5 linked regions of the Oryzias latipes genome follow. The protein of the gene in region 4 purifies or fractionates together with the protein of the main gene of each other region. This does not show direct contact. Links are inferred from orthologs where the notes say so. Each region holds a gene or a part of one and is shown on either strand. Other genes may lie near its edges. The genes, in order: dlgap5, nup50, nusap1, kpnb1 and rcc1.

Evidence for each region.
Region 1: the proteins of kpnb1 (region 4) and dlgap5 purify together in Homo sapiens (affinity purification with mass spectrometry; 4 studies listed by BioGRID and IntAct, with this or other methods). This does not show direct contact. The link is inferred for Oryzias latipes from reciprocal best matches to the Homo sapiens genes KPNB1 and DLGAP5.
Region 2: the proteins of kpnb1 (region 4) and nup50 purify together in Homo sapiens (affinity purification with mass spectrometry; 4 studies listed by BioGRID and IntAct, counting the BioPlex papers as one, with this or other methods). This does not show direct contact. The link is inferred for Oryzias latipes from reciprocal best matches to the Homo sapiens genes KPNB1 and NUP50.
Region 3: the proteins of kpnb1 (region 4) and nusap1 purify together in Homo sapiens (affinity purification with mass spectrometry; 3 studies listed by BioGRID and IntAct, counting the BioPlex papers as one, with this or other methods). This does not show direct contact. The link is inferred for Oryzias latipes from reciprocal best matches to the Homo sapiens genes KPNB1 and NUSAP1.
Region 5: the proteins of kpnb1 (region 4) and rcc1 purify together in Homo sapiens (affinity purification with mass spectrometry; 3 studies listed by BioGRID and IntAct, counting the BioPlex papers as one, with this or other methods). This does not show direct contact. The link is inferred for Oryzias latipes from reciprocal best matches to the Homo sapiens genes KPNB1 and RCC1.

The regions. Positions count from the first base shown.
Region 1 is NC_019877.2:3,670,376-3,675,674, reverse strand, and holds the end of dlgap5 (disks large-associated protein 5), read right to left. Parts: coding exon 5,274-5,299; intron 5,161-5,273; coding exon 5,062-5,160; intron 4,931-5,061; coding exon 4,803-4,930; intron 4,726-4,802; coding exon 4,478-4,725; intron 4,388-4,477; coding exon 4,214-4,387; intron 4,129-4,213; coding exon 4,040-4,128; intron 3,948-4,039; coding exon 3,787-3,947; intron 3,700-3,786; coding exon 3,598-3,699; intron 3,034-3,597; coding exon 2,790-3,033; intron 2,719-2,789; coding exon 2,186-2,718; intron 2,099-2,185; coding exon 1,948-2,098; intron 1,778-1,947; coding exon 1,734-1,777; intron 1,629-1,733; coding exon 1,518-1,628; 3' UTR 1,453-1,517; downstream 1-1,452. Other genes in the region: radial spoke head 10 homolog B, read left to right, coding at 1-31, 138-313. UniProt on the Homo sapiens protein: Potential cell cycle regulator that may play a role in carcinogenesis of cancer cells. Mitotic phosphoprotein regulated by the ubiquitin-proteasome pathway.
Region 2 is NC_019881.2:23,772,118-23,778,212, forward strand, and holds the start of nup50 (nuclear pore complex protein Nup50), read right to left. Parts: upstream 3,606-6,095; 5' UTR 3,200-3,605; exon of another isoform or gene 1,710-3,199; intron 1,651-1,709; exon of another isoform or gene 1,230-1,650; 5' UTR 1,197-1,229; coding exon 1,128-1,196; intron 1,054-1,127; coding exon 970-1,053; intron 900-969; coding exon 716-899; intron 638-715; coding exon 20-637; intron 1-19. UniProt on the Homo sapiens protein: Component of the nuclear pore complex that has a direct role in nuclear protein import. Actively displaces NLSs from importin-alpha, and facilitates disassembly of the importin-alpha:beta-cargo complex and importin recycling.
Region 3 is NC_019880.2:1,751,560-1,757,682, reverse strand, and holds the start of nusap1 (nucleolar and spindle-associated protein 1), read right to left. Parts: upstream 4,268-6,123; 5' UTR 4,177-4,267; intron 4,042-4,176; coding exon of another isoform or gene 3,870-4,041; exon of another isoform or gene 3,650-3,869; intron 3,599-3,649; exon of another isoform or gene 3,507-3,598; 5' UTR 3,506-3,506; coding exon 3,431-3,505; intron 3,294-3,430; coding exon 3,231-3,293; intron 3,152-3,230; coding exon 3,008-3,151; intron 2,514-3,007; coding exon 2,372-2,513; intron 2,297-2,371; coding exon 2,204-2,296; intron 1,631-2,203; coding exon 1,518-1,630; intron 988-1,517; coding exon 812-987; intron 738-811; coding exon 580-737; intron 502-579; coding exon 391-501; intron 322-390; coding exon 222-321; intron 144-221; coding exon 56-143; 3' UTR 1-55. Other genes in the region: oip5 (protein Mis18-beta), read left to right, coding at 3,870-4,041, 4,808-4,874, 4,982-5,104, 5,236-5,317, 5,504-5,599. UniProt on the Homo sapiens protein: Microtubule-associated protein with the capacity to bundle and stabilize microtubules. May associate with chromosomes and promote the organization of mitotic spindle microtubules around them.
Region 4 is NC_019866.2:173,283-179,549, forward strand, and holds the start of kpnb1 (importin subunit beta-1), read right to left. Parts: upstream 3,718-6,267; 5' UTR 3,430-3,717; coding exon 3,390-3,429; intron 2,712-3,389; coding exon 2,653-2,711; intron 2,105-2,652; coding exon 1,922-2,104; intron 1,854-1,921; coding exon 1,653-1,853; intron 786-1,652; coding exon 633-785; intron 565-632; coding exon 505-564; intron 435-504; coding exon 345-434; intron 274-344; coding exon 163-273; intron 85-162; coding exon 1-84.
Region 5 is NC_019874.2:65,570-71,227, forward strand, and holds part of rcc1 (regulator of chromosome condensation), read right to left. Parts: intron 4,288-5,658; coding exon 4,191-4,287; intron 2,516-4,190; coding exon 2,393-2,515; intron 2,298-2,392; coding exon 2,157-2,297; intron 1,608-2,156; coding exon 1,488-1,607; intron 1-1,487. UniProt on the Homo sapiens protein: Guanine-nucleotide releasing factor that promotes the exchange of Ran-bound GDP by GTP, and thereby plays an important role in RAN-mediated functions in nuclear import and mitosis.

The sequences.
Region 1 (5,299 bases), on a different chromosome or scaffold from region 4:
AACTCAGAAGATGAGACGCTCCAGCAAACAGGTTTGAGTCATTTTGTACAAACTCTTCCAATCGAACGTCTTCAAGTTTGTGGCTTTCAGCTCGCTTATGAAAGAGCTTTTGCATTTCTAACACGTTTTCTTTCTAGAAGCCACAGAAGAGGACGGGCTCATCCTGCAGACCAGTCAACACAAATTTGAGACGCTTCATCGCTTTTTTAACCACTTTTTCTTTCCGGCGTTTAACCATTACCTGTCAGTTACCAGTAAAACCAAAAATAAGCTCGCCAACGAGAAAAAGAAGACTGAGAGACACGAGGAGTAACAACAGGACTCCAACAGGCCTGATGAAAAATAAAAACAATTCTTAAAATGTATCAACTTACAGTGAATAGATCCTGAAATAAAGCTCAAGATATTTTCACCAGTAGAGAAACCAAACCTTTCCTCTGTTTTCCAGGTAGGTGACTAGATGAACTCATTCATTTTCTAAACCCATTTAGTCCCTTTTGGGGTCACGGGACTGCAGGATTCTATCCTGTGGGTGGCAGCAGGGCCACAAATCACACCCACACCTAGGCACAATTTAGAGAGTAACCAATTAACCTACGAGGCATGTCTTTGGACCATGTGAGGAAGCCGGAGAAAACCCACAGACCACGGGGAGAACATGTAAACTCCACAGAGAAAGGTCTGCCGTTGGTGTTCTGTTTCACGTCCACCAGTCGGGACTTGAACCAGGGCCTCATGCTGTGAGGCAATAGGCTAACCACTCCACACCGTGCAAGACAAACTGCTTCACGTAAATCTGCCTGCAAATTAAAAATGAAAGCTTGCTGCTCGTACCATCTTCAGGGTTATTAAATTTTTTTTTTCATTTTCTATTCTGTTTTTCCCTTTTGGGGTCACGGAGCCTATCCTGGCCACTTGTGGGCAAAGGCAGGCGATGCCCTGGACAGTTTGCCAGTCTGTCACAGGGTAGAATGTCCACAATCACACACCCATTCACTCTCACACCTAGGGAAAATTTAGATTAACCAATTAACCTATGAAGCATGTTTTTGGACGGTGGGAGGAAGCCGGAGACCCCGGAGAAAACCCACGCATACACGGGGAGAACATGCAAACTCCACACAGGAAGGTCCCCCATTGATGTTCTGGTTCAGGTCCCCCAGTCGGGACTTGAACCGGGGGCCTTCTTGCTGTGAAGAAAGAGCGCTAAGCACTGCGCCACCGTGCAGCCCTAAAAAAAAAAAAAAAAAAATCTCAAAAAATAAATTTAAAAAAAACTTCACGGTGAGCGTCTTCAAGGTGCTCAACCCTTTGCTCCTCCTCCTGTGCAGGTGTTTGACAATCAAATAGTGGACATAAAAGATCCACCGTAGGAGCTCTTCGGATGTGCTCTCCCTCTGATCTTTCTCTTCGGGTGGTAAAGTGGGAAATTTAACAGTCTGGACGGTTTGTTTTTTTAAACAAAACTTTATTTAACATGTTTTGTAAAAAGTGATCATAAGACGGATAAAAAACGTTTAGAAGTTAGGAGGGGTGAAGGACATGAGGTCAGTTGGACAGACTGACTGGCGTATTCTGTCCTTCAGATCCGGAGTGAAGAGCAGCAGGGCAGCCTTTGCACTCTGCACCTAAAAAAAACAAAACAACATTGGCTGTTTTAGGAACAAAAAATAAAAATATTGTAGAAGACACAAATAAATGAAAAAAAAAGGGAAAAGTGGAAAGACTTTAACCTGTGGTGACCGAGGAGAAAACACCGAAGACACCGCTGACAGTGCTGTGACACCACGAGAGGGAACAAACATGTTGGCGAAACAGTTTGTTAGGAGATTTAAGACATTAGATTTCATTCATAAAAGAGAGTCAGTCATCCTGCCATGTTTGATGCTGATGAGTGCTAAGATATGAAACCCAGGGCAGCTCAGTACCTGTGGGCATCACTCATACCTGGAAGTTCCTCTGCTTGCCCTCTGGGGCCCTCCATCTCTACATCTGTTGCCATGGGAGACAAAGTCTCTTCTGCAACCGGCTCTCTCGGAGACAGACTGCATCTCTGCGAAGGCTGGAAGTAACGGTCGAAGTCCAAACCAGGAACTTCCTAAGAAAAACACGAGTTAAGTTTTTAAATGAACGGAAAGTCGTCCCGTCGCCATGAAATGACTCTGAGCTGAAGCTGGAGTTTTACCTCAACGACTGAGCTGTTTGGCGTTTGGTACACAGCCTGTGGGGCTTCAGCAGCAGCAGAGGTCAGAGGTGCACACGGCGACAGCACAAAACTCAGGCCGGATGGCGGCTCAGGAACATGGGGGGCGGGAGAGGGGGATTTGCTTGAAGGGATGCAGTGTGCGGCAGAGAGGGGAGTCCCTTCAGTTGGTTCTGCAGAGTTCCTTTCTACAGAAACGGTTGGGGGGGAGGCACCCCCTGCCTTCTGGGCGGGGCTTCCGTCAGATGTCTCCTCACTGGAGGGCAGTTCCTTCACAGGTGAGAAGCAGAGAGAGGCGTTTGCGGGGCCGTCTATTCCCTGGATGTCTGGCTGACACTTTGGCGTTGGAGCTTGCTCAAGGGTGGGGCGGGAAAGCTGAACAGGGGAAGCACGAGAACCAATGGGGGTGCGCTCCAAAGCAAGGGGCCGCTGTGCGGCCCTTCTAGGTGTGCGATACGAGGAGCAGGGGGAGGCCAGAGGCAGCACAGCAGCACTCAGACGGCTGGATCTCCTGACTGAAAACACACACAAACACATTTATAAAAGGAACAAATGAAGCAGAGAACAGTTGGTTTTCCCCCCTCACTTGATGATTTGGCTGGGCTCTCCACTTTAAAGAACCCCCCATCAAAGACCACCGCGTCCAACTTCAAGGCCTCAGCTTGAGGGCCCGGTTTTTGGGAGGGGAGGTCGCCGCTGGTGGAGTCCTGGGACGCCTTCTCTGCCTCGGCTGCCTGTTGTTTGGCTTTCATGGCTGCTTTCACTGCAGCCAGGCGAGACTTTGCGGCGGCGTTGGTTCCTGTAGCCTTTGCCGGTGCAGCAGACGGCTTCTGTCAAAGGAAGCTGTAGGTTTAGTGGTTTGTTCAACACTTGAGTCAAAATCTTAAAGACCGGCTCCAATGAAAATTGTCTTTAAGGTATTTTTTAACATGTTCTTGGAGGACACATTTAAAGACAATTAGGCTCAGGTCTTTATTAAAATCGTTGAGCCCCCTGCTTCACTCCATTCTGATGCATCCACCTGCAGACAAACAGATCCACGAACCTCACTGGAATCTGGATCTAATCTGTACGGCTGGTTGGCTCAGGAATTTCTCGCCCGTTTTGTTGCCCCGCTAATAATGTTAGGTTGGTGTTGTGAGGGGCTGTAAGCTAGCGGGAAAAAAGGGATGATAGGGAGTGAGGGTAGGCTTACTCTGCGCCAACAGTCCCACCCACAACTCGGAGACTAATTTTTAATGATCTACTGCCTCTCTGCAGAAACTATGTCAAAGACAAGGACTAAGGTTTTCTTTTAGCTCGGCTGAAATCGGCATGATCCTGATCAAAATACCGTTTAAAATGCATCAAACGATGATCCTAGTGGGTCTTTAAAGCAACGTTGAGGCCTTTACCTTCACCGTTTTCCTCTGTCGAGGTGGAGGTTTGCATTCCTCCACCCAGGATCGGCCCTCCGCCTCTTTGAGAGCGTCAAACTTCTTGTTGACGTCTTCAACCTGTCAGACACCAGAAGCGCACTTACAAATAATCAATGTCATTTCTCTGCCCTCAGAAACAGTGTCGGGGTCTGGTGAGGCGTTAACCTGGTAATAAACCATATCCCAGAATCCCTGCAGGTCAGTGCAGGTGGTGACCTTCTCCCCTCGGCCCAAATCGCAGTCGTCTACGAGGCCGCTGAACTGCTTAAAACGCTCTTTCATCAGCAGCCTCGCCTGACCCACAGCCGTACGCATGCGATCTCTCACTGTCAGGTGAGAAGGAAAAACAAGCACCGGATTAAAAGTTGCTGATAAAGAGGGACATTTTTATTACTAAATGTCAGTTTAGTCCACTTACTTTCCTCTGGTATGGATTCATCTTCCACTTTAGGCTCCCAGTGGTGACAAAAAGTCGTGAGTCTCACGGTTTCTTTGGCAATTTCCGATCTATATTGTTCACAAACAGAGGGAAACGCTTAAAACAGACAAACTGTTGGGGGATCGATGGATCACCACAAGAAGGAAACGCTACCTGAAGTATGGTACATCGTGCTTCGACTCCAGGGGGCTGCAGGGAGGCGGAGCAGTGACGGCGGCGGAGGTACCACGTGGAGATTGGTGAGACGTTTTAGGGGGAGACGGTTTGCTTAACTCAGCTTGAGGGTGGAGAGTGAACGACGAAACCGGTGGGAGGATTAAGGTTGGGCTGGAAAGTAAATAAAAAAAAAAATCAAAGTGAAGAATTTAGACGTGTGTTTTTATCAGTAAGCTATGAACCAGAGGAACATAAACCAACCTTGGAGTGAGGAAGGCATCAGCTGAGCGAGGAGTGAGGGGCTCAAACTTGAAGGATGACAAACCAGTCGGAGCCTGGAAGATAAAATCCCTGGGAGCAAACGATGGAGGAGCAGCCTCCACAGCAGGAACAGATTCCTCGGGCGGTCGGTCCACCTGCATGTCGTCTTCATCCGCAGATCCTGCTTGCCTGGGAGGAGATGCCATGTTTTCTGCCTCCTCCATGTTTTCCTCATTCAGTTTTTCATCCTAAACAACAGAGGAACACCTTTTGTAGATTCCAAAATAGTAATTTCTTTGGCATTTTCTGACAAAGCAGTACTCACCTGGGTGGGGTGGATTGGGTTAATCACTAAGTGGGCTGCTCCTGTGATTTGACCATTACTGCTCTTTGTGTGGCCAGATGAGGGAGCCACTGAGCTCAGAGCCGCTTTGGCTCTCGTTGTTCTCACATCTGAGGGAAAAGACAAATTATGCATTTGCAACCTTATTTTCTTTTAACACAAACTACTCCTTGAGCTGGAAAAAAAAAACCACAGACCGCTTTTTAACTGCTTCAAAAAGCAGCGTCTGCTGCTCACATACCTGCCACCTTTTCCTTTGGCTTATCTTTCACCGCCGAGGTTTTTGGAACAGGAGGCCTCTTGGCTGATCTGCTGGATAAGGGTTGGACTGCAGGTCCAGCTGTGGTAATGCAGTCCGACACAGAGGAGTTCATTAAGATGCAAATGAGGAAACATAATCAGCTGAAAGCAGAAGCTTCCATGATATTACACTTTTCTTCTACTATTAGTTACCATTACAAGAGTTGGACTTGGTGGCC
Region 2 (6,095 bases), on a different chromosome or scaffold from region 4:
GGGCGGGGCTTCTGCTCACCTGTGGGCGGGGTTTCCTCTGTCTTTGTTCCGCCAAAAGGCAGAGGGGCTGAAGAGGAGGCGGCTCCAAACAGGGGCGTCTGGCTGGAGGAGGCGCTGGATGAAGAAGGGGTGAAAGAGAAGGCGGGGCCGAGGGGTTTGGACCCCAACGAGTTCAGGACCGAGCCGTCCACCTTCTGCCCGAAGTTGAAGGTGATGCCGGCGGGGGCGGGGTCAAAGCTGGCGCCTGTGAGACGGCGGTCTGCTGAGGAGTCCCTGCTGAAGGAGAACAGAGCAGCTGAGGGAGGCGCTGTGGCACCGCCAGACGATGGAGGAGGGGGGGGCTCCGTGGGGGCTGGCGTCTCCTCAGAGTTGTCCCGCCCCCCGCCGAACTTCCGCTCGATGCTGGCCAGGTGGCGCTCGTAGTCCCTGAAGATGGGGTTGAGGTCGCACAGGGGGTTGTCGTCCACATGTTTGCTGATCCAGTCGCGCACCGAGCGGTTGAGCGCCGCCAGCTGCCGGCTGTACTCCCTACTTCTGCTGCAGGTCGGGGCCGCGCCGGGGGCGGAGCCATTGGCCTGACTGGGGCTGCTGTCGGCAGGCAGCTTTGAAGAGGAGGAGCCTCCATTAAACGTCACACCTGAGAGGAAGACAAGAGGATTCATGACACAGTGGGAGGGGCTAATCCTCAGACGATGCTTGTAATCCCGCCTCTTACTCGCCGCAGCAGAGGATGCTGGGAGGGCGGAGAAACCCCTGAACGCAGGAGCACTCCCATTGGTCGCGCCGCTGAAACCTTTAAATCCTTCTGCGTTACCAAAGCCAGGGGCGGTGGGCTTGGTGGAGGCTGACGCAGAGAACGCAAAGCCCCTGAAGCCTTTGAAAGCTCCTCCCACATCAGCCTGGAGGTAGAAAAAAACAGAGTCAGATCCAGTTCAGAAGGACCGGCTCGTCAGGAGGCCCGGTTCTGACCTCTGAGCCCACATTTCTGCGTTTGGCCTTCTTGATGGGCCGACTCTTCAACACGTCCTCGCTGGCCAGGCAGAAGGTCCCGGCCTGCAGAAGAGCAGCGGCGGCGTTACAGACCAGAACATCCATCACCCTCCTCACCCCCCTCCTCCCCCACTCACCTCCTCCCCCTCCTCCTCCTGATCCCAGTTCCTGTCAGTCAGTTCTTTGTCCGCGATCCTTTTGGCCATCGCAGCAGCGTCAGAACACAAACGCCCGGGAGTCTGTGAAGGCAGCGCGGATGTTTGATCAGAATGCAGACCCTCGCACAATACCTGAATGTGGGCGGGGCTTCAGAGAAACTGACCCTGGGCTGACTATACTGCATCTTTGGTTTGGTTTGCATAACATTACAGATCTTTGGCACAGCGAGTAGCAGGCCAGGTACCAGGCCAGGAACCAGGCCAGGGACAGGTACCAGACCAGGTACCAGACAAGGAACCAGGCTAAGCAGGTATCAGGCCAGGAACAAGACCAGGGACCAGGTACCAGGCCAGGAACCAGGCCAGGGACAGGTACCAGACCAGGTACCAGACAAGGAACCAGGCTAAGCAGGTATCAGGCCAGGAACAAGACCAGGAACCAGGTACCAGACAAGGAACCAGGCTAAGCAGGTATCAGGCCAGGAACAAGACCAGGAACCAGGTACCAGACAAGGAACCAGGCTAAGCAGGTATCAGGCCAGGAACAAGACCAGGAACCAGGCCAGGGACCAGACCAGGTAACAGACAAGGAACCAGGCTAAGCAGGTTTCAGGCCAGGAACAAGACCAGGAACCAGGCCAGGGACCAGGTACCAGACAAGGAACCAGGCTAAGCAGGTATCAGGCCAGGAACAAGACCAGGAACCAGGCCAGGGACAGGTACCAGACCAAGTACCAGACAAGGAACCAGGCTAAGCAGGTATCAGGCCAGGAACAAGACCAGGGACCAGACCAGGTAACAGACAAGGAACCAGGCTAAGCAGATTTCAGGCCAGGAACCAGGCCAGGGACCAGGTACCAGACAAGGAACCACGCTAACCAGGTATCAGGCCAGGAACAAGACCAGGGACCAAGGAACCAGGCTAAGCAGGCATCAGGCCAGGAACCAGGTACCAGACAAGGAACCAGGCTAAGCAGGTATCAGACCAGGGACCAAGTTAAGCAGCTACCAGGCCAGGAACCAGGCCAGGGACCAGGTACTAGACCAGGTACCAGACAAGGAACCAGGCTAAGCAGGTATCAGACCAGGGACCAAGTTAAGCAGCCACCAGGCCAGGAAAAAGACCAGGAACCAGGCCAGGTACCAGACCAGGGACCAGGCCAGTGACCAGGTACCAGACAAGGGACCAGGTACCAGGCTAAGCAGGTATCAGGCCAGGAACAAGACCAGGAACCAGGCCAGGGACAGGTACCAGACCAAGTACCAGACAAGGAACCAGGCTAAGCAGGTATCAGGCCAGGAACAAGACCAGGGACCAGGTACCAGACCAGGTACCAGACCAAGTACCAGACAAGGAACCAGGCTAAGCAGGTATCAGGCCAGGAACAAGACCAGGAACCAGGCCAGGGACCAGGTACCAGACAAGGAACTAGGCTAAGCAGGTATCAGGCCAGGAACAAGACCAGGGACCAGGTACCAGACCAGGTACCAGACAAGGAACCAGGCTAAGCAGGTATCAGGCCAGGAACCAGGTACCAGACCAGGTACCAGGCCAGTGACCAGGTACCAGACCAGGGACCAGGCCAGGAACCAGACAAGGCCAGGAACAAGACCAGGGACCAGGTACCAGACCAGGTACCAGACAAGGAACCAGGTTAAGCAGATACCAGGCCAGGAAGAACCAAGTCAGGTACCACCACGCGGGCGGTCATATCAACAACCCAGTTTCGGACCAGAACATGAAAACGGATCTTCAGATAATCAGTCTACTCATGAGATCCGGTTTTCATTTTCCGACCGGATCATCCACCAGGTGGTTCTGCAACGGTCCAGATTCTGGAGCGACTTCCTGCTGAGCTTCGGGTTCGGTCCGAATCCTCACAGTCTGGCGGGTTTTGTGGTGTCACTATGGTAACAAAATCCGGGCGGTTCTTCTGTTCGGTTCCTCCGGTTGGATTGCCTCACTTCGCTTTGCCGCTGGCCGCTCCCGTTACTTTAACCGGTTACAGTTATAGAGGCAGGATATTTGGTTTACTCACCGTGCTGGTTACCTTTGGCCGAAGTCTCCAAACCGGACCGGAACCCGTTCCGTCGCTTAACCGTTTCCCGCTGAGAAGCTAACCGGGCCGCGCGACAGCTCCTGACGTCACGGCTAGCGCTCAGTGGCGGTCTTTGGTCTCGGTCACCCGAGACCCGAACTCTGTCTGTGAGCGACTTTCCGCCCGGTCTCGGTTCTACAGACCGACCAGAACCGCAGATTCTCGATCGCCTTCAAATCTTGACTCACTCAGTGATTTTGAAAAAGCTTCCTCACGCGGCCATTTTGCACAACGGTACATCCGCGTGGGTGCACGCGCCCCACCTCTCTGCTCATGCGCAGAGTAAAGAGCCTATAGCTGGGATTTGTAGTCGGGTAGAGTATTTATTTATCTCGTTTTTATCCTCCTGAGAACCGAGGAAAAAAAGTGTCTTCCAATTTTTGTTTTTGTGTGATTTCCTTTCTATTTGGGCTTAAAAAAACACCTTACAATTTTAATTTTTAAAAAAATATTTTTTATTTTAATTTCCCAACACGTCCACTGTAGAGGACAACAGGACAACATTTCTGTGAAAATAGAACTCGGGTAGGAAAATCAGAAAAAAGGAGCAGATTAAATCTTTAGAGTGATACTCACCCAAAAAACATTAAATTTTGTTCTAAAACAATAAAACTCTATATCACTTTATTGTTACTTGTTGGACCTTCTGCTACAGAGGAAGATCGACCGGTAAATTGAGAGCTTTGCTTTCTGGCTCAGCTCTCTCCTCACCACAACGGACGCTGCTCCGATCCACCTGTCAATCTCACGCTCCGGTCTTCCCCCGCTCATGGACAAGACCCCAAGATATTTAAACTTCTCCACCTGGGGCAGGGACACTCTACCCACCGAGAGACGGCAAACTACCTTTCTTCGGTTAAGAACCATGGCCTCAGATTTAGCGTTGCTGACCCTCATCCCAGCCGCTTCACACTCGGCCGCAATCCCCCCCCAATGCATGCTGGAGGTCCCGGTTCGATGAAGCCAACAGGACAACATCATCTGCAAAAAGCAGAGAGGAAATCCTGTGGTCTCCAAACCAGACCCCCTCCAGCCCCTGGCTGTGCCCTAGAAATTCTGTCCATAAAAACTATGAACAGAACCGGTGATAAAGAGCAGACCTGCCAGAGTCCAACATGCACCGGGAACAGGTTTGACTCACTGCCGGCTATGCGAACCAAGCTCTTGCTCCGGTCATGCAGAGACCGGACACCCCTCAGTAAGGCTCCCCGGACCCCATAATCCCAGACCACCCTCCACAGGATATGGGGGACGCGGTCGAACAGCTTCTCCAAATCCACATAACACATATGGACTGGATGAGTGAACTCCCGCAATCCCTCCAGCACCCTAGGTTAGGGTGTAGAGCTGCTCCACTGTTCCACGACCAGGACGGAAACCGAACTGTTGTTCCTGGATCTGAGGTTCGACTATGGGACGGACTCTCCTCCCCAGTACCCTGGCATAGACTTTCCCAGGGAGGCTGAGGAGTGTGATTCCCCGGTAGTTGGAACAAAACTAGATCAAAAACAGATCTTCAAAAATGTTATCAATGTACTGTGAAAAGTACAGGATTGAACTCCGGTATTCACAAACTTTGGGGTCATCTTGATAGGCAGGGCGCCCTGCTAGCACAGGTGTAAACCTGTTATGATGGACGTTTAAAAAAAACAAAAAAAAAAATCAAGTTAATTATAAAAACAAGTTATTTTTTCCTGAATCTCATCCTTTTCATCATCTGAAAGCTCCAAATCTGAATCTTCTCCGACTATCTGGCGCAGAATCCTCTCTGCTTCCCTTTTTTCTCCAAACATTATGTGCATTGTGCAGCCATTAAATACATTGAAATGGTCCCGGTGTCCTCTACAGTGTAGAGTAGGATTTGGAAAGGTATCTCTTAATTCCTTAAAAATATACAGGTAAACAAAATGTCCATTATAGAGGACATAAATGACTGGGCCGGGTCTCAGGAGGATATGGAGCATTTTGTGTCCATTCCCTATATAGTTCCTTATTGGAATAATCTAGTTTACCACTTAGAGCGGGAAAAGATCTGTTAACCAATGAAGTGAGAGAAATGTCCTTTAAATGAATCCATACATTCTACCCATCTATTGATGTAGATAAGAACGCCCTGAAGATGCTGTTTATGGCCTTTTTCCACTAAACTCTGGTCTAAAGTTTGTAATTTCATTTCCACATAGACCCAGACTTCCTCCTGTGCTTAGAAAATGTTTGGCCTCATCCAGTCCTTCCCATAAAAAAGAACAATTATACTTCATTAATCTTATTTTTAATGCAAATGGCACATTCATGAATCCAAATGTATGTATAATACCATCATTTCTGTCTTTGTCAATGAGTTCAAACAACTCAGAAACACAATAAGATAGGAAACGGTTCAAACACTCGATCTGTGCGTCACTTTCAATGTCTTTGTGTGACCTGGAATCCTTAAACCGGCGGCCTCTTCTCCTGTTATTGTATTGCACTGTTTTGTATTGGATTGTTGTGATCAATAAAGTTCCTGTTAAAAAAACCAGTATCATATTTGTAAGTGAAGACCAGACCGTAAGTACTATGGAGTCCTATACTGTTCATAATTAAATAAATAAATATTTAATTCAATAAATAAATATTTAATTAAATAAATAAATATGGCCTCATGCAAATAAACAACCAATAAATCTCTCATAAATATATAAAAAGATCATGAAATGGTGAAAAACATGCACACACATTTTAAATTAGCCATTATATTATTCAATACATTTCATTTTGCTTTAAAAACCTGTTCATTATTTTAAAACAGCATTTTCAAATATTCATTTTATTCATGTGGAATATTATCATAAGTCTACGTCTTTTT
Region 3 (6,123 bases), on a different chromosome or scaffold from region 4:
TGCTAAAAAAAAAGTACAGAAGTTGAAATATTTACAAGAGACAGAGCGGAGGCTCCTACATCATGGCCAGGCCTCTGCGAGCTCCCAGCATGCTCTCCTTCTTCTGCTTTCGTCCCTGCGCCTGCTGTGTCCTGCGGTCCTCCCTGCAACAGAGCAGCAGACCCTTGGAGAGGCGGCAGGGGGAGGACAATGCGGCCCCAGAGGAGGTCGATGCCACGTACCTGGTCTGAACTTTGTGTTGTTTGTAGCTTTCCTGGTGGGAGTTCAGGGATTTGTTTGCTGCTGCGTTTTCTTTGACTTCAGCAAACGGCTTCAGTTTCCCTGAGAAAAGATGTTTCGGTGATGACGGAGTTGACCACAAGCGCGTCGGCTCTGCAGCCTTTTCTTTACCTGCGTGAGGCTTGTACGTGAGCGGCCGCGCCAGACTGGCTTTGAGGTCAAAGGTCGCCTTCTTCTGCGTTCCGGGTGTGAGTGAGGTGTTTCCGTTAAAAACAAAAGTCCCTTTGAAGGAGGGCAAAGACGACATGAATACCCAGCGTTCTGCACGAGAACACGGCCGTGAGGAAGACGTAAACGTACTTGGAGTTTTCTGAGCGGAGAACGTGGAAGGTCTCCCGGTGTGAGGCCCCGCCCCCGCCGCCGCCTGCGGAGTGGAGGAAACCAGGCAGAGCGACATCCGTGCCGGCGTCTTCAGCAGAGACCCTTTAAACTCGTTGTCGCGAGTAGCTTCTGAAAACCTGCAGACGGGACGCCAGAGACATTGTCCAGAAGATCTGAAGGAAGAACCGGACTGACTTGAGGGAGGACTCACCGAACGTTGATCCTGCGAGTGGAGAGCACAGACGGTCTGAAGGGAGCAGCGCTTCCTGCAGGTCTGCTGGACGGAGCTTTGCTGGCTGAAAGCAAAGTGTGTCTGCTCTTTTCCTCAGCCGGCTTTTTCCCTGACGGAGGGCTGAACATGCTGGAGCCGGCTGCATTTTTGCTCTGCTGGAAACAAGCAAAAAAGCAGAACTGTGGCTGAAGTCTGGTGGTCTCAGAAAGCTCTGGAGTTCAGCTGATGTTCACCACCGAACAATCAGGTTGTGGTGGTTTGATATGAAAGGAAAGAAGCCAAAGTTTCATCTGATGTCTGGACTTCTTCTGGCTTCCACCTCCAGCATAGGATGAAACACAGAAACCAAAGGATCTGTTTGATTTGAGAGAAATATTGTCCTGGCAGCATTTTGAATCGGTACAAGTATCACCAAATGAACTATCGTGATATTTTGTCGAATCGATTTTTTCTTCCACCCCCATACTAAACCTCACAGAGGATCTGACTGAGTGGTTAGAAGATTTGCACTGGGATGCCTCCCTAATGGAGCAAAACATGTCCTGAACAGGAACCCTCCAGGCTGACCCCGACCCCCTGTAGAGGTCACCGGGAACAGACCAGCATCCTCCTGGGGGGGGGGGGCATGTGTCAGACCCAAGTGCATTTCCAGCTTTCAGAATAAAAGCATGGCTGTTTCCAATACCTTCAGCTCTTTGACAGGATTCTTGAGGGTGTCCACCTTCCTCTTCTTACGCTCAACGTAGGTGTCGATGGACTCCATCTTCTTAAAATGAGCCTCGTGGAGCTTTTTGAAATCTGGATGAAAGACATTTAAATGATGAAGGGGAACGAATCAGACTCACATGATGGAAACTGTTTTCAAAAACCAAAGACCTTCACAAAGAAAAATAAATGAACAAAATTAGAAAACAGACAAAACTGTGCACCCAACATAATGAAACAAACGAGGAGAGAAATAGAAATCTGCGGTTTGAGATGTTCTTTCAGGGAGCAGGACGTTACAATAATCTGTTTAGGTGGAAGTAAGAACATCAGCACCTCCTCCATGCTGGCAAAGTCATGCAACGTTTTATGTTGATGAAATTCTACTCTAGATTCTTTTTTTAAAATATGGAATATAAATCAGCCCAGAGTCAGAATAAACACCCTGATATCTCACTATTTGGAGAAATGATCGATTTCTTGTCTTCAGAACGTCAACTAAAAGCTCGGGGTCGTCCTGTTGAGCCATAGAGCTTCTCTGCATTCATGACTTCCTGTCTAAAATTCAGTTTAAAAATCTGCTTTCTGACTCCTCACCATCAGGAGATGAGCGTGTTTATCTGTGCGTCATCAGCACGGCCGTGAAATAAAGAAAGAAAAACTTACTTGGAGTGAGCGGTTTGAGCGCAGCCTTCTGCTGAGATCCACGATAGCGAGGGATCTTTCCAGCTTTGCTCACTTTGGGTTTTGGCTCTGGTTCTGGACACAGTGGTTTTCATGAATAAAAGGTACCCCAGTTAAGAAGCGGAGAGCATAAACCCCACTAGTGCACACCTGTCTCCACGCGTGCAGGTGCTTCCACGCAGGCGTCAGGCTGCAGCTCCTCCTGAGGCTCAGGTGAGTTCTGCTCAGAGGACGCTCGTCTCTTTGAAGCTCTCCTGGTCTTGGAGGATGAGGCTTCAGGTTCAGCATCAGCCTGGTAAGAAAAGAAAACCCATTAGAGGTTTTAGAGGACCAAACCTCCAAAAACCTCATAGATTCCAGCTAAAAATCCAGCTCACTTTGGACAAAATGATCTTTGGGATCAACAATCGTCTGTTAATCTTAGTTCTCTTATTCATACCTCAAAATGGAAAAAAGTATGGCCTAATTTCATTTTATTCAAAAAAAACATTTGCAAGCAAATTATCTTAATGCTTTAAAATGTATGCATAACAAAGGTGCAAATCTACTGGACATCCTCAGCAATTTTGATTTATTCTGGGATGTCTGTTTACAAATGTGTGAGTATAAATGAGTTATTGTTTATTGATGGCATGATTTTGTAAAATGTTTTCCCTCAGTTATGTGTACTACTTACAAAGTCATTGTTAATGAAGACAATCTTATTGCCTGTTTTGTCATAAGTTTGCATATAAAGTTTTTTTTTAAATAACTCCAAAAGTCACGTGACGTCGTATTTGCGTGTACCCGTGCAGCCTTTGGGGTCACCGCAGCCCCGCTGGTGGTCTTCCCCGAGTCCCTGCGTCCTCTCCCCCGACGCGCGTTGACAAACACGCGTGGGCTGGAGGTTTCTTTGACTGCATCCTGATCGGCATGACTGACGCGATCATCCTGTCCACGACACAAACAAGCCTTCATACAAAACTGCAGTTCAGGCTAAAGCAGCGATGTGTTTACGAGTGCCGGTTACCTTCCCCCCCGCCGCCTCCTGCTGCTTGTAGTGCTGTTTTACAGCCTTCAGGAGTTTGTTTGCCTGTATTGAGACAAATTATGTTAACACAAGTCACGTATTAGACAAACTACAGTAACAGCGCCCTTCGTTAGTAGTTGCCATATCCCGTAATAATTTTTCGTTCAGGATAAAGTTATGAAGCTAAATGTTGATCTTGCCTTCATGTTTGCTTTCAGTCCGAGCTGTTTAGCGAGACTTCGCAGATCGGCATATTTCATGGAGTCCAAATCCATCCTGACAAGGAGTAAATCCAGAAAAAGAATCCCGTTTTTATCCACAGTCAGATTGAATTCTGCGCGAGGCGTCCGCGGCTGACGGTTAAAACCAGATTTGAAACGGGACAAGAGGAGGGCTATGATTGGCTCTCAGTTTGACCGGAAATGGTCACAACCAATCAGAGCAAAGCGTGTCGATGCCTTTCCGTTTAAAAAAAATATTTTAATAATATAAAGACAGAAAAGCTTCACAAAAATCTGTTTTATTTTAGATTTTGAAAATTGAATTTGAATCAAAAATTCTTACAGGGAAAAAAAACGTTTATAGATAAAAGTTCGTAACTGCTCGGCGTGGCACGCGCGTCTGGGAAACCCGCTAAAAATGGAGTTTGAGAAAAGCATTTTAAATAAACGCAGCGACGAAGCGAAGCCTGGGACAGCGGCAGACGACAGACATCTGATGACCTTCCACTGCCAGCACTGCTACACCGTCCTGGCGGATTCCCTGGATGTTTGTGGTGAACTGCAGAGTCTGGACTCGGTCATTCTCTTAAGTAGGTTTGTCTCCTTTGTTTTGGTCACACAGACGTTCACGGCAGAATATTAACTAGCAAGCGAGTAATTTGTTAGAACTGTGTGTTAAAGGGAAAATATAGTTAAATTACCAATTTATTTATTTATTTACTTACTTGTTTGCCTGGCTATTTGGTGATCTGTGATTTGTAAGTTGTTACTGTTTTGGGGGGAGATCTTCCATGACAGGTAAATGTCTCCACTGTGGTATCAATAAAGTTAAATTCAAAGCTTTATTGATCCGTCGGGTTTGACAACAGTAAAAGTAGAATTTATTTTTTAAATTAAAGCAAGTTTTTGCCACCGAAGACGCTTTTAGGCAATTAAAGCACGCGATAACAAAAGTAATTTTGTTTTAACTACACTAAATATTTTTGACCAACTGTCCTTCATAAAAATAAAAAATATTAAATTAAGAAAATAAAAAATCAGCATTTTCTGATGAATCCCCTGAGTTTATTACCAAATATTATATTAACAAAATGTAATTTAGTAACAAATGTTCAAATGTCTTGTTGCTCTAATCAGCCATAGACGATGTTTTCTCCCATTTACCAACAAAAAAGCTATAATAACCTGTTAAAATAGGTCTCAGCTTTACAGAATTAAGGGGATGTTGTTGTTATTTACTTTTGTAACCCCCCCCCCCCCGTTGTTTTTTTTTTTTTTTTTTTTACTAAATTGTTCTTTACTATGAATACATTTATAAAAGAAATACAAATTTTATTTCTGCTTTTCTTTCCTCAGAAGTTACAGACGATGTTGTGGTTGGAGATGCTGTAATGTCCAAAGATAAAGGAGAAATGACAAACTGGTGAGTAGATTTTAAGGTAGAACCTGATAAAGATGATAAATACAGGACATAATCTGTCTCCTCTGAATGTTGAAACCCTCCCTGATCTCCACTGGTTTGTTCCTCAGCATCTCCAGTCCTCTTAAATGCAGTCACTGCCACCTCGACGTGGGGAAGATTCTCCACTCGAGCCCACCGAGCCTGGCTCCAGTTCGCTCCCTCTTCCTCCTGGACAAATCCAGCATCAGTTGGTGAATTTTCCCTGATCCGCTCTTTCATGAATAAAGGAGTAAATCAGAGCTGAGACTTTCTCCCTTTTCAATGGTAGAGATGAGAACACTGAGATGAGAAGCACTCAGAAAAAAACTATTTTCTTCTGCAGTTACATCCTGAACAGCAGCTCCATGGTGAAGGCCTCTGGACTCTCATTTGATCTGCAGCCTGTGAGTGAAAGACTGGCAGAGGTGAGAGCTTCGGGGAGGATCACGTGTGTGTTCTTTCTCAGTAAATGGGAGCTGTAGACACAGATCTGTCCTGCAGGGGGCGCCAGAGCAACATCCAAACAGAGATTGCTGTTGGACGGTTGACTCCTGGGATCATGTCGTCAGAACTTTCTCCTTCAGAGCTCACCTGCTGCCTTTTGTTCACAGGTGAAGCAACATTTTGAAGCTCACTTGGAGAAGATGTCGATCCTGAAGAGCAGATTGGCTGACATGAGTATTATCAGGAACAAGAAGAGGAGGTAGTCGTCTGTGGAGCTGGAGATGCCTTTAAAGTTTGTGGGTCAGTTTTTGGTTTAAAGGTAGATTAGGGTTGGCAGAGAATCGGCTCTGAACCCCAGATTACACTAAAGGTTGCCTTAAATCCTAAAGTTGTTTGTCTTTGTGTTTGATAATTACCCGGTTCATACCTGACCTCGGTCCAGGTGATCTTAATGTTCTTTTTTTTCAATAAAGTTAATGATTTCCAGTTTGAGTTCATCCATCAGATGTGTGAAGTTATTCAGACTGAATGTTTTTTTTTTGAAGATTTGATGTTTTTCCCCAAATCCTCCCTAAAAATATTCATTTTTTTTCTGTTCTTCTCACCTGGATTCTCTTCTGGTTTGCCGTACTTTAGCAGGCAGTTCCAGTCGGGCTTAAGTTAAAAGGACTTCTTCATTTCTCTGTTTGAGTTTTCCTTTGAGTCAAACAGGATTTTCTTTCTTTAACCCTTGTGCTATCTTAGATGACCCCCCCCCCCCTTCCATCGACGTGTTCTCCCTACCATG
Region 4 (6,267 bases):
GGTCAGGATGGGGACCAGGTACTGCAGCGCTCCTTTGGCATAGAACTTGCTGGTGTGCTCGGGGGGGCGGCCCTGCTCAGAGGCCTGTGATTGGATGAGAAGAGACGGCATGAGTCGGCGGATCGCAGCGCCGCCGGACGGGCGGGGGGGCCGCGGACGCACCTCCGAGGCTTCGATGGCCAGGTCCATCTCCTCGTCGCAGACATTGGACCAGAACTCGATGCCCTGCAGAGCCACCTCATCGATGTCGCTCTTCATCGCCTCGATGGTGATCTGCGGAGGAGACGACGCATGAGGAGGGGCCGGCTGACGGCGAGCCGCCGGACACGCCCCTCCATCCTCACCGCAAACAGCGCCGGGCCCATGTACGTCTCCATGTACTGGTAGTACAGCGACATGATCTTCACCAGGTTCTGCAGCGCCGCCACGCGCACCTGAACGCAGCACAGAGGCGTCAGCCTGGAGCTGGGGCGCGCTCAGGAGCGTGCACGTGTGCATACTCACTCTGGTGTCGGGACACTGCGTGGCCTCGCACACCACCTGCATGATGAAGTGTCTCTCCGTCTGAAACAGAGGGCAGGGCTCAGCGATCTGCTAACTCCGCCCCCAGCCCCGCCTCCAGCCCCGCCTACCTCCTTGTCAAAGTTGGCCTTGGTGAACTCCAGCGAGTTGAGAAGCGCGTTGGTGGCGGCCAGCTTCACGTTGTTGCTGGGCTCCTCCTTCCTCATGCCCTGGATGATGGCGGTCAGGATCTGGTTTCCGTTCTCCTGCAGCTGCTCCGGGTCCTGAGCACACGGGAAGCCGTTAGAACCTGCCGGGTTCTGACCCGCTTCCAGTCAAATGGAGGAACACAGAAGGTGAGCCAGAACATCCCAAGAACCCCAGAAAGTCCAGTGAGTTGGAACCTTTCCTGAGGTTTCAAACCAGAAAAACTCGATTCACCATTTTAAATCGGCCGCAGCGGCGCCGGTTCTGGACGCAGCGGCGCCGGTTCTGGACGCAGCGATTCTCCGACTTGGTTCTACCGGCTTAACCCTACGAAGCTGAAGAACCTCAGCAGTTTGATTGATCCTCTTTATTGATCTGAGCGTTTAGTCCACGTGATCAATACCTGAGACATCCATTAATCTCTGCTTGAAGCTGAATTTCAGACCTCAGAGGTCAAAGTTCAAATGACCAACAGACACATTTGAATAAAAACTGAAAACAAACTTCCACTTTGTGGCTAAATGTCACTTTTCACGCTGAAACATTCTGCTCTGTTTATTGACGTCTCATGGAGGCGGAGCTTAAATTCAAGTTTCTTCTTCCTTCCTGAAAAATATCTACCCTAAAGAAAAAACTGCAGCGAGATCCTGGAGGTTCTGACAAACGTACGGATCGGGCCGCCTGCTGAGACTCTGAAGGACGGGTTCTGATCCCACAAGAACCAAAGGTTCCTGACGTGATCGGTCCGAACCCGAACCGGGACGCAGACGGCAACGACCGAAGCGTCTGCTGCTTTGAGGAACCGGGAACGTAGAGAAACCAGAGGATGGAGGACAAACCGCCGTCTGATATCGATGAGGCCATGCAGCAGTGGGAGGGGCCCAGAACCCTCCAGAACCTGGAGAGGGCCCGGCAGGTCCCACGTGACGGGACGCGTCACTCACAATGTCCTGGCAGATGTAGCCGATGGCCTCCAGCGTGGACTCCTTCATGTGCTCGGTGCTGGACGGGTCCGTCACGTTGGCCACCAGCTGAGGGATCAGCTCGGGCCACTGGTTGACCGGGATCTCAGCGCAGGCGATGCCGGCGACGCACTGCGAGGCGGAGCTGGGCCGGTACGTCTCTGTGCCCAGAGTTTGGAGGACCTGCAGGAGAAACACGGACCCGGTAAGCTCCGCCCCCCGCTCAGACAGCCGCCTTCAGCAGCACTTACGTAGTTCTTGATCTCGCGGCGAGCATTGGCGTCGATGGCGAGCCATCTCTGCTGGTACTGCGTCTTCACGTCAGGATCTTTGGAGGTCAGGGAGTTCTTCACCTGCAGGCCCGCGGCCACCCGGGCCACCTGCGTGTTCCCCGGGTTTGCCAACACCTTGGAGAGCTCCACCAGGAAGGTGGGCTGGGGGGGGGAGAGAGAGAGAGAGAGAGAACGAGAACATCAGCGGGGGGCCTTCAGGCTCGGACCGCCGTGGAACGAAAACCTGAAGGCCCGCCCCCAAACCCAAAGGAGGTCCTGAGACCGAAGCCACTTCAGGGTTCTAGTCCAGACTCTGCCTGCAGCCAAAATCTCTCCCATCATGCTTTGCAGCATCATTACATACAGTCTGAGCATCACAGTAACGGCACAGGCGGGACTTCCTGGTTCCAAAAAGGTCACATGATGCCGCGTCATGCTAGCAGGTAAACCCACATCTGTTAGCATGACCGGAGGACGGAGAGCAGAAGTGCTTATGGCTTCACTCCCGTGACTGCAAAGCATTGTGGGATTGATCCTAGTCTGACCATCAAGAAGGGGGTTCCGGACCTCCTCTGGATTACTGGACTTTAGGGGAAACACAGGTCTTTGGGGGAGACGTCAGAGCTCACTGAGTGAGTGCGCGTGCGCCAGCTGATCACGGATGCTCCGTTCGCCCGGCCGCCCCGCACCGCCCCGCAGACCGAACTTACCAGGTTCTCCACCGCCGCCTGCTCCAGAAACTTCTGCGCCGCCTCCAGCTCATTCCGATCTGCGGAGAGAGGGCAGAGGTCAGCCAACGCCGGCCGGCCTGCAGCCGCACCGACGCCCGGGCCGGGTCGGCCCGGACATTTCCGCCATCACCTAATCAGTGGCCCACGTGGGCCGCGGACCTGAAAACAGAGCACGATGCGTTCACGGACTGCGTCTGAACCACGGGTAAAGCGCGCTAGATTAGCATGCTAGCATTGCTAAAGGCGCTCGTTAGGAGTCCGTTTGGTTCTCCAGACAGCCGCCGAACCCAGCCGAACCGGCCTTCAACAGCCAAGTGCTGGCAGCCTAACGCGCCCGCTGAACGCTCCCGCGAGGACGCTGAGGCTCGAGAAGGAAGCGGCTGCTAGCATTAAGCTAACGGCTAAAGCAGCCGCCGCGCCGGCATGGCATGGATGGGCAGGGTCGCTCCGGTAACCGGTCCTGCGGCTTCAGCCTGCGCTCCTGCTCGCCACCGCAAACCGGAAACTTCCCCGCCGCTGAGGGCCACAAATTTACCGGACTTTACCTGCTGGTGGCGGGGTTCCAACTGCACCGGCAACGCACGAATGACGAGTCCCGACTCAGGCCGGAGCCTTAGCACCGTTAGCCCTGCCAGCTAGCATCTGCCCGGTGTCCTTCCTGCAGACCCGGACCGCCAACCGGAGCCCAAACAGCGGACGGGCGAGTGGGCGCTTACCCGGAGAGACCGTTTTTTCCAGGATGGTAATGAGCTCCATGCCGCCGCCGCCGCTCTCGTCTCTCACACGTTCTGTAGCCGCGCACCGCCGCAGCGGATTATATTTCTTCCACGGTGCTCAGTCGGTGCCGTCGGGGCGAACTCGGTTCGCTGCGGAAAAGGCGGGAGCTCTCCGGTGTTCGCTCGGTGCTTCTGACTCGGATGATGCGGGGAAATGTTTACGATCGAGGCAAACAGCAGCGCGTCGAAGCTCCGCAGCCGCCCATCCGCATCCTGAATCGTCGGGAGGGAAAGGACCGCGCGTTTCACCCACGCGGAAGGATATCACGCACTGACGTAAAGACACGACGTGCTGCCTTCAGGGGGCGTGGGAGCTTTCAGGAGGCGATTTCTGGATGAAGTAGCGGAGAAAGGCTGTTTTTCTGACACTGCAGCACAACAGCTGCGTCGTTACTGCACGATGGATTTGTGCTTTTATTGAACATTTTACTGTTGGTAAAGATCTTCTGCTGAGTACAGGAAGAGGTCAGAGGTCAGAAACATGAAGTCTACAGCCAAACCTTCTGCAGGACAATGAAACACAAAGAATCCTCTGAACACATTCTTCTAGAGGTTTGGTTGACAAACATGACCGTCACTGTGAAATGTCAAAGTCCCGCTCCAATCCTCTTCTGATCTAAAGTCTTTTCACGATGATGTTACTGTTTTTAGCCAAAATCCAAACATCTGGGTCGTTTTCTTGGACTTAGTTTCTGCAGAGTGCCAGGAGTTCATCAGAAATTCACCTCTGGGTTGTGGGTGGGACTATTGGTGCAGAGTAAGCCTGCCCTCATTTCCCATCATCCTTTTGTTTATACTCTCCCCCTCTAGCGTACAGCCCCTCACACCCCCAAGCTAGCATTAGCGGTGCAGCAACATCAGATCCATCCATCCGTCCAGTTCAGATCCAGATTCCGGCTCAGACCAGGAAAACTGAGACCTTCATGGATCTGTTGGTCTGCAGAAGGGGGCGGAGCCTGGAGGCTTCTATGTCACCGCTCAAAGCTTGATCAAAGGACGTTTTGTCATCCGCTCCTGATTCACAAGGATCTGAATAAAGAAAGGGTCAGGAAGGCCGATCCAAAGTCCAGCATCAGAAAAACACCACAAACATCATTTTCACGGGTCTTTGACTGCTTCATCTTCAAACTCAGGGAAGAATATTCTGGATGGCGCTGAAGCACCATCTCCACTCCACGAGAAGGTGCTGCTGACCCCCCAGTCCTGAAGGAGCAGCGGCGTGGGATTCGCCTTGTTGCTGCAGCCGCGTCATCTCAGGCAGCTGGAGGACGGCAGCAAACAGGAAGAGCTTCCCCGTGGCGTTTTTGCAGGAAATGCGATTCGTCTGGTGATGGTTGCTCTTCATCACACAGCTGTCTGAAACCTTTTCCTCTATTTTCAGAGCTTAGTGTTTTTTGATTCTCCTCAGTTCCCTCCAGAAAGATCTCAACCGATCCACTTCAGGATCCTGTCAGGAGGATCTTCCAGCCAGGCAGTGACAGCATCACTCAGACCCTCTGCAGCTTTGATCGGTCCTCAGCAGAGGCAGCAGAACCTGGGACAACATTCCAGAGTTACTGAACGTTTGAGTGACAGCAGCTAAACCCGGAGGTCTAAGAGCCCCAGACGGTTTGTGGAACCTAAGAAGAGATTTGATGTAGAACCTAAACGCATAGAACTGGATTCCAACTGGGATCCAGTGAAGAACCTGCAGGGATGTTGGATCTGCTGCTGGTTCAAAGACCTGCAGCAGACGGAGCCGCTCTAGTCAGCTTCGGCAGACCATAATAATCCAGAGGAGATGAAACCACGTTTCAGGCTCCCGTTGGTCCTCCACGGCGCCCAAACGCCTGCCGAGGTCATGGTTTCTGACTGACGCCGTCTTCATCTTCGGCAACAGCATCTTCATCGTTGCCTAATAATAATATTTGTATAGCACCTATTAAGATAAAAATCACAAAGTGCGTCACAATAAAACACAGTCAATTTAAAAAATGAAAGAAAATGCTATTTTAAAAAGAGGTTTTTAGCTGCTTCTTACAGAAAACACTGAGTCTGCAGATCTGAGGCTGAGAGGAAGGGAGTTCCAGAGGATGGAGCCACTGCTCCAAAGACTGTCACCTTTAGTCTGTAACCACCAGCAGACCCTGGTCACATGACCTCAGGGACCTGCTGGGAGTGGACGGCTGCAAAAGGTCTTTCTGTAGACCGGTGTTTGGTTATTAAGAGCTGTGGATGTTAAAACCAGGATTTTAAATGCAGTCGGTAGCGGATGGGGAGCCAGTGCAGCTGCATTAACAACAGAGAGACGCGTGAAAACGTAGATGAATTAGTCAAAAGCCTGGCAGCAGCGTTCTGGACATCCTGGAGCCGTTCTAGAGGTTTTTGCTCAATCATGTGAAGATGGAGTTGCAATAATCAGGACGAGACGATACAAAAGTGTGGATGAGAATCTCCATCTCAGAACACAATTGGACTCAGTTCAGCAATGTTTTTTAAATGATAAAAACAAGAACGTACAAGTGACCCGACATGAGAGTCAAGGGATAAAACCGGGTCTAGAGTGACCCCGAGGTTCCTGACAGACGGCTTGATAGAGGAAGCAAGTGGACCGAACCACTGGACTATCTGGAGGAGGCAGCTGTGAGGAGGACAGACTAGGACCTCAGTTTTAGCTTCATTTAGTCAGATATAAAATGAACAATAAAGGTCCCAAAACTGAGCCTTGTGGGACACCAGAGGTGAGGGATGCAGAAGAGGACTTAAACTTGGAAAATACAACAGAGAAAGATCTACCCGTCAGATAAGAGGAGGACCAGTTTAGAGCGGAACCAGATAC
Region 5 (5,658 bases), on a different chromosome or scaffold from region 4:
GTTAGAAGTGCAAGAGGTGGTAATGAGGTAGAGTGTTGATGCTGTGGACAGAGAAGTAAACAGGAATATGGATTTTATCTGTGCATTTGGGAATTGAGGATGGTTATTGCCTTTGGAAAGAAGCTGTTTTGAGTCTGTTCGTTTTGCTTCTGATGCCTCTGTAGCGCCTCCCAGAGGACAGCAGGTTGAACAGATCTGAGCCGGGGTGTGAACAGTCCGTGATAATGTTATGAGCCCTAGTGATGCAGCGCGCAGAGTAGATGGGGAGACGGCGTCCAATGATTTTCTGAGCCGTCTCTACGACTCTCTGAAGTCTCTTTTTATCCGCGGCCGTGCAGCTGCTGAACCAAACAGTTATGCAGTAAGTAAGCAGGCTCTGGATGGATGACTGGTAGAAGGTCAGCAGCAGGTTGGTGCTGATGTTGGTCTTCCTGAGGACCCTCAGACACTGCTGAGCCTTTTTGATGATGGCAGTGGTGTTGGCTGTCCAGGAGAGGTCGGCAGAGATGATGATACCGAGGAACTTGAAGGTGTGGACCCTCTCCACGTGCTCCCCATTAATAAGGAAGGGGGTTGGGTCTGCGCCATGTTTCTTGAACTCGACAATGATCTCCCTGGTTTTGCTGGTGTTCAGGGTGAGGTTGTTCACTGTGGACCAGGTTGTCAACTTCAGGACCTCCTCTCTGTAGGCAGACTCATCCCCCCTGGGAATGAGTCCGACCACTGTGGTGTCGTCGGCAAACTTGATGATGCAGTTGTTGTTGTGGGATGGCCTGCAGTTGTAAGTGTAGAGGCAGTACAGCAGGGGGCTTAGCACACAGCCCTGTGGGGCGCCGATGCTCAGTGTGCGGGTGATGGGGAAGTTGTTAATCCAATTGCATGTGAGGGGTGGGAGGCCAAGAGTGAGCAGTTTGTCACAGAGTCTGTCCGGGATTATTGTGTTGAAAGCAGAACTGTAATCCACAAAGAGCATCCGGACGTAGCTCTGCTGCTGCAGAGCTACCTACACTGGCATATTTCGTAGCATTTCACGATAGCAAGCTGAAAGGGTCATGCGCCGAGTTGACGAAAATTTCCCATCCCGACAGCATGAAGTTAAACTACTTCCACTTTCTTCCAAATTCGAATCTCGTGTAAAACTATTTAATTTTGTATGTTTTTTGCATCCAAATATTAAAATTTCATGACTTTACTAAAACTTTGCAGAATATTTTGTTTTTCACAAACTTTTCAAAGACCTAGCATTTTCAATTTCCAAAACTTTTCCAGGGTTTTCCAGGAATACTCAGAAATGCATGAATGGATGTACCGCTTGGGTTATATTTTGTTAAGAGTTAACATTATAATACCCCTAAAAGCTAAAAAATAAAGTTTATTTTGCATGATATAGGCTCTTTAAAAATATCTACTTCATCAAAAGCTTTTCAGAAGATAAAATGCTAAATTCTGTAGAATATCAAATACATTTGGATTCATGTGTTGTTTACCTTCAGAGTCAAGACACAGCGTATGATGTTGTCCTCCAGAAAAGTCCACCCAGGTAGTGGTGGAGTTCTTGAAGCACGTCAGTTTTACAGGAACAAAACACATCTTGGTGCTTTTGGTGCCTGGGCAAATAATTCAGAAATAATCAAATGAAACCTTGGAGTTCAACCAAATGTTCCCTGTTGCTTTTATAAGTTTGACAAGAATTAACAAGCATATTCCAGTTCACGCCATCACTACCGTATTTTCACGAACGCCGGGTGCACCAGGTGTTAAGGCCCGGGCACGTTCAGGCCCTCAGTGCCTCCAGAGTGGGTTAATAAAAGAACCAGTCTCTGTTCTTTTTGAGGAAACCTTTTTACTGTTCTCCCTAACTGTGTAACACAAACTGAATGCGCGCTCACAGACTCACTTGCGCGCCGCGCCTGACCCCCCTCCTTATTACTCCCGCTGGGCGCAGGAGCTGAGAACACACATTGGCTTGTGCTCAGCGCCTGACCCCCCTCCTTGTTATTCACGTGGGTGCGCAGAATGCTGGAGCTAGGGCTGGGCGATATGTTGTGGGGACCTGGGGCTTAGCCCCGCCCATGGCCACTAAGACTCATGGGAAGTGTTGATTCCCACACAGTGAGTTAAGGAGTTAAGGATAAACTCTTATGAGTCAAACTTACCCAGTTGGTGATAGTTTGAGAGGCCAAATCCATAAACGTGTCCTTCTTGTGACACAGCAAAGGTAAAGTAAGCTCCACAGAAAGCATCTATAAAGTGAACTTTCCCCTTCAGCTTCACCATCTGCGGCACCAGGAGTCGCTCTAAAAACCACAGCAAGGTAGAGTAAAAAAATGACATGGGTAAGATTTAACCACAATATTGTTTAGTGTTTTGCTGTTGTAACAACTTCACCTACCAAGACCTTTTCTACCACCTCTGTTTGAAAAATGCTCAGGCACTCTTCCCAGCTGCCCCTGCTCTGCACAGCCTGATGTGTAAAGATTCCCATCCCGTGTCACTAACACCAAGTGGTCGTTTCCTGTCAGAGCATCCGTGAAGACAACAAGGAGACAAACATCTGACAAAGACAGTTTGAACTAGTTTATAACAAGATGATGTACACTTAATGTTTTCATAGCAGTCACTTCTGCTTATATTTATTTGAATGTTCCATTTGTTTTGGTGTAAAGGGACTTGTGCTCAAATGCACTGACACAAAGTGAGCACTTTGGACAGCTCTACTTGCACTTTACAAAAAAAAATTCAAGGCGCAAGTGGTGTTGTACAGCCCACAGGCACTACCAGCCCTTGCCATCAGCCTCTATGTATCAACGCCGCAGGGGTATAGGCACCACCGCCGCTCTCACCACCCATCTTTGAAACGAACTTGCTTGCTTAGCAGTCACGACGCACATCTAACTCTCACTTGTCTTTCTGATAGGCTGTCTGAGCTGCATGTGGATAAAAGTGCTAGCAATACTATCAGCATCATCAACTGACTCAGAAAAACGCCTTACTTCAGATGCTAATACTGGTAAGAGCCACATGTGGTAAGTTGATAGAAAATCCACTTTCTTCAAAACGGCGGCTTTTCTGTTAGTTTTATCTTTATAGCAATCATTTTGTTTTGGTACCACACCCACATTACTTATATGTTTGTATCCAATGTTATATTAATTTGTTCAGTTCTAGTCATGGATACATGCATTAAATGTTCACAGTTTTCCATTTAAACATGTGCGAGTAATAAGAGAATGCCACTTTAGCTAGCTCACCACTCGCACACCGTTAAAAATGTACAACTTCTAATTGCAACATCTTTTCCATAACTGCTTTTAATTAAAGGTGGCGGCCTCTTCCCGAGGTCAAATGTTGACAAAACTCCACTACGCCAAATCTCCAATTTTGGCACAAAATGGCCAACAAACCATAGGTGTGTCGCCATTCCATAAGTATTTCATAACTATTTCATAACTTCTTTCATTGGATATCCCAGACAAAGGTATATTGGTTTCGTAAGTAGATTTCCATTTAGAAAGAAAATTTATTTAGCTGATTCAGCACAATTTTTTGCGACATTTTTTGTTTACCACACCCACTATTTTAACATTGTCATCTAGAATGTTGCATCGTTTTATTCAGCTTGGGCCAGGGAAATGCATATTGAATTTTTACGACACCCCAATAAGAAATGTGCGAGCTAGCTAAGATCGCAACAGTTGCAACTTGCCACGTACAACCATCCAAAATCTACAACCTCCAATTCTGACATTTTTCCACAGTGGCTTGCCATTGATGGCCGAGAAGTTACGAGACTATAGATAAAAATCCCTAGGACGCGTTTTCGTTTGTATCTGAAACTAAGTTTTTTTTTTTTTGAATGTGTGCAGATTTTGGTGAGTTTTTTTGTGTATGTGGTGGGGTCAAATTTTTCGCTCAAAGGCGCAGATAGAAAGCGGAATCATAAGTATTGCAGAAACAATCTACAAGTTTTTGCGGTTAGGACCGACTGTGTCTTTGTATTTTGTGTTTTACTACACACTGGTCATGTCTTTTGGGGCTTATTCCTTTCCTTTGAGTTTTTTAAACCATATAGTTTTTGTCAGTCGTTGCAAAAACAATATGGTCCTTGGAGTCCTTGACCGCTGTGGGCCATAATCAGCCTAGAATCTTTAAATAAAACTTCAAGCAAATTCCCGGGAGGTTTTACTCACCTGAGGCAATTTTTACAGCAGGTTCTGGGATGGGGATCTTCACTGGGACTGGGCATGTTTTCATGGGCTCCAGAAGACCAATTACACCATTATTATCCTATTAAAAAAACAGCACAGCTGAAAATTCACAAAAATTAATAACTGCAGAAAGAAGCCAATACCATACAACAGGGGTGTCAAACTCATTTTCACTGAGGGCCACATCAGCATAGTGGTTGTCCTCAAAGGGCCAGACATAACTTATACATGTAACTAAATGTAATGAAAAATAAACGCAACTCCTCCTTAATGTTAAATTACTCATTTCTTTATTATAACTTTTTAAAGTGACAATTACAGTTGCATAGAAAACATGTTTGCTTTTTAATCTAGCATAAATCCTTTTAAATCTGATCCTCTCAGGTTAGGTTTTATGGACAGTGTTTAAGTTCTAATGTACGGAGCCCGTGTCCTGACATTAAAAAATTAAAATATGTCTCGTTCCCACAGATCAATATCTTGCTCGCACAAAATAATATTCCGTTCCGACAAGATAATATTTCGTTCCCTCGAAATGATTAATTCGTGCGAACGAAATGACTCTGACAGCCAGCGTAATCTTAGGATATTTTTCTGATTTTCATCGAGACAATAATAGATTGCTCATCCTTGCTTTTATTTTTACCCCTATTGAATGCTCACAGAGACACGGAAGTAGCGGCAGAAAGCGGCTTTTAATAAATTTGATCTATAAACATCCTCCGTGTCTTAAATGCAATGTAATAAGACACACACAGACAGAAATGTGAAGGTTTCTGCTGAAAATCTATGACGTAAATAACAGGATAAATGATCGGCTAGTTAGTTAGCGTGTTGCCTACTAACCTTCGAATGTAAAGCAACTGCTAAAGAGTATGTTAATAAAAGACAAGTCCTGAATATTATTATTCCTATATATTCGACCCTAAACTACAATATCAGCTGGATGTCTGTCTACCGGCCAGCCAGCTGCCCGAATGCCGGCATGACAAGCAAAAGAGCTCTGCGACGGAGCTAGGTCCGGTGAATCGTATGGCAAAGCAGCAAGCCTAGGTATCATAAATCTTATATTTTTCTTATATTCATTGAGACGATTATAAATTGATCATTCTTGTTTTTCTTTTTCCTTGCTTGAACGAATGTGGGTCACAGAGACACAGAACTTACCGCTGAAAGTGCCTTTTGCGACCGGACGGAGAGTATATCTGTGTTTATGAATGACTTATGACGTGAATAATAATTGCGTTCGCACGAATTAATTATTTCGAGGGAACGGAATATTATCTTGTGGGAACGGAATATTATTTCGTGCGACCAAGATATTAATTTGTGGGAACGAGACATTTTAATTTTTTAATGTCAGGACACGGGCTCCGTACTAATGTATTGTTGCCCAATCCAATACTTCAAGTCAGATTCCTCCTAATTTTAAGAAATTAAAAACTATTTT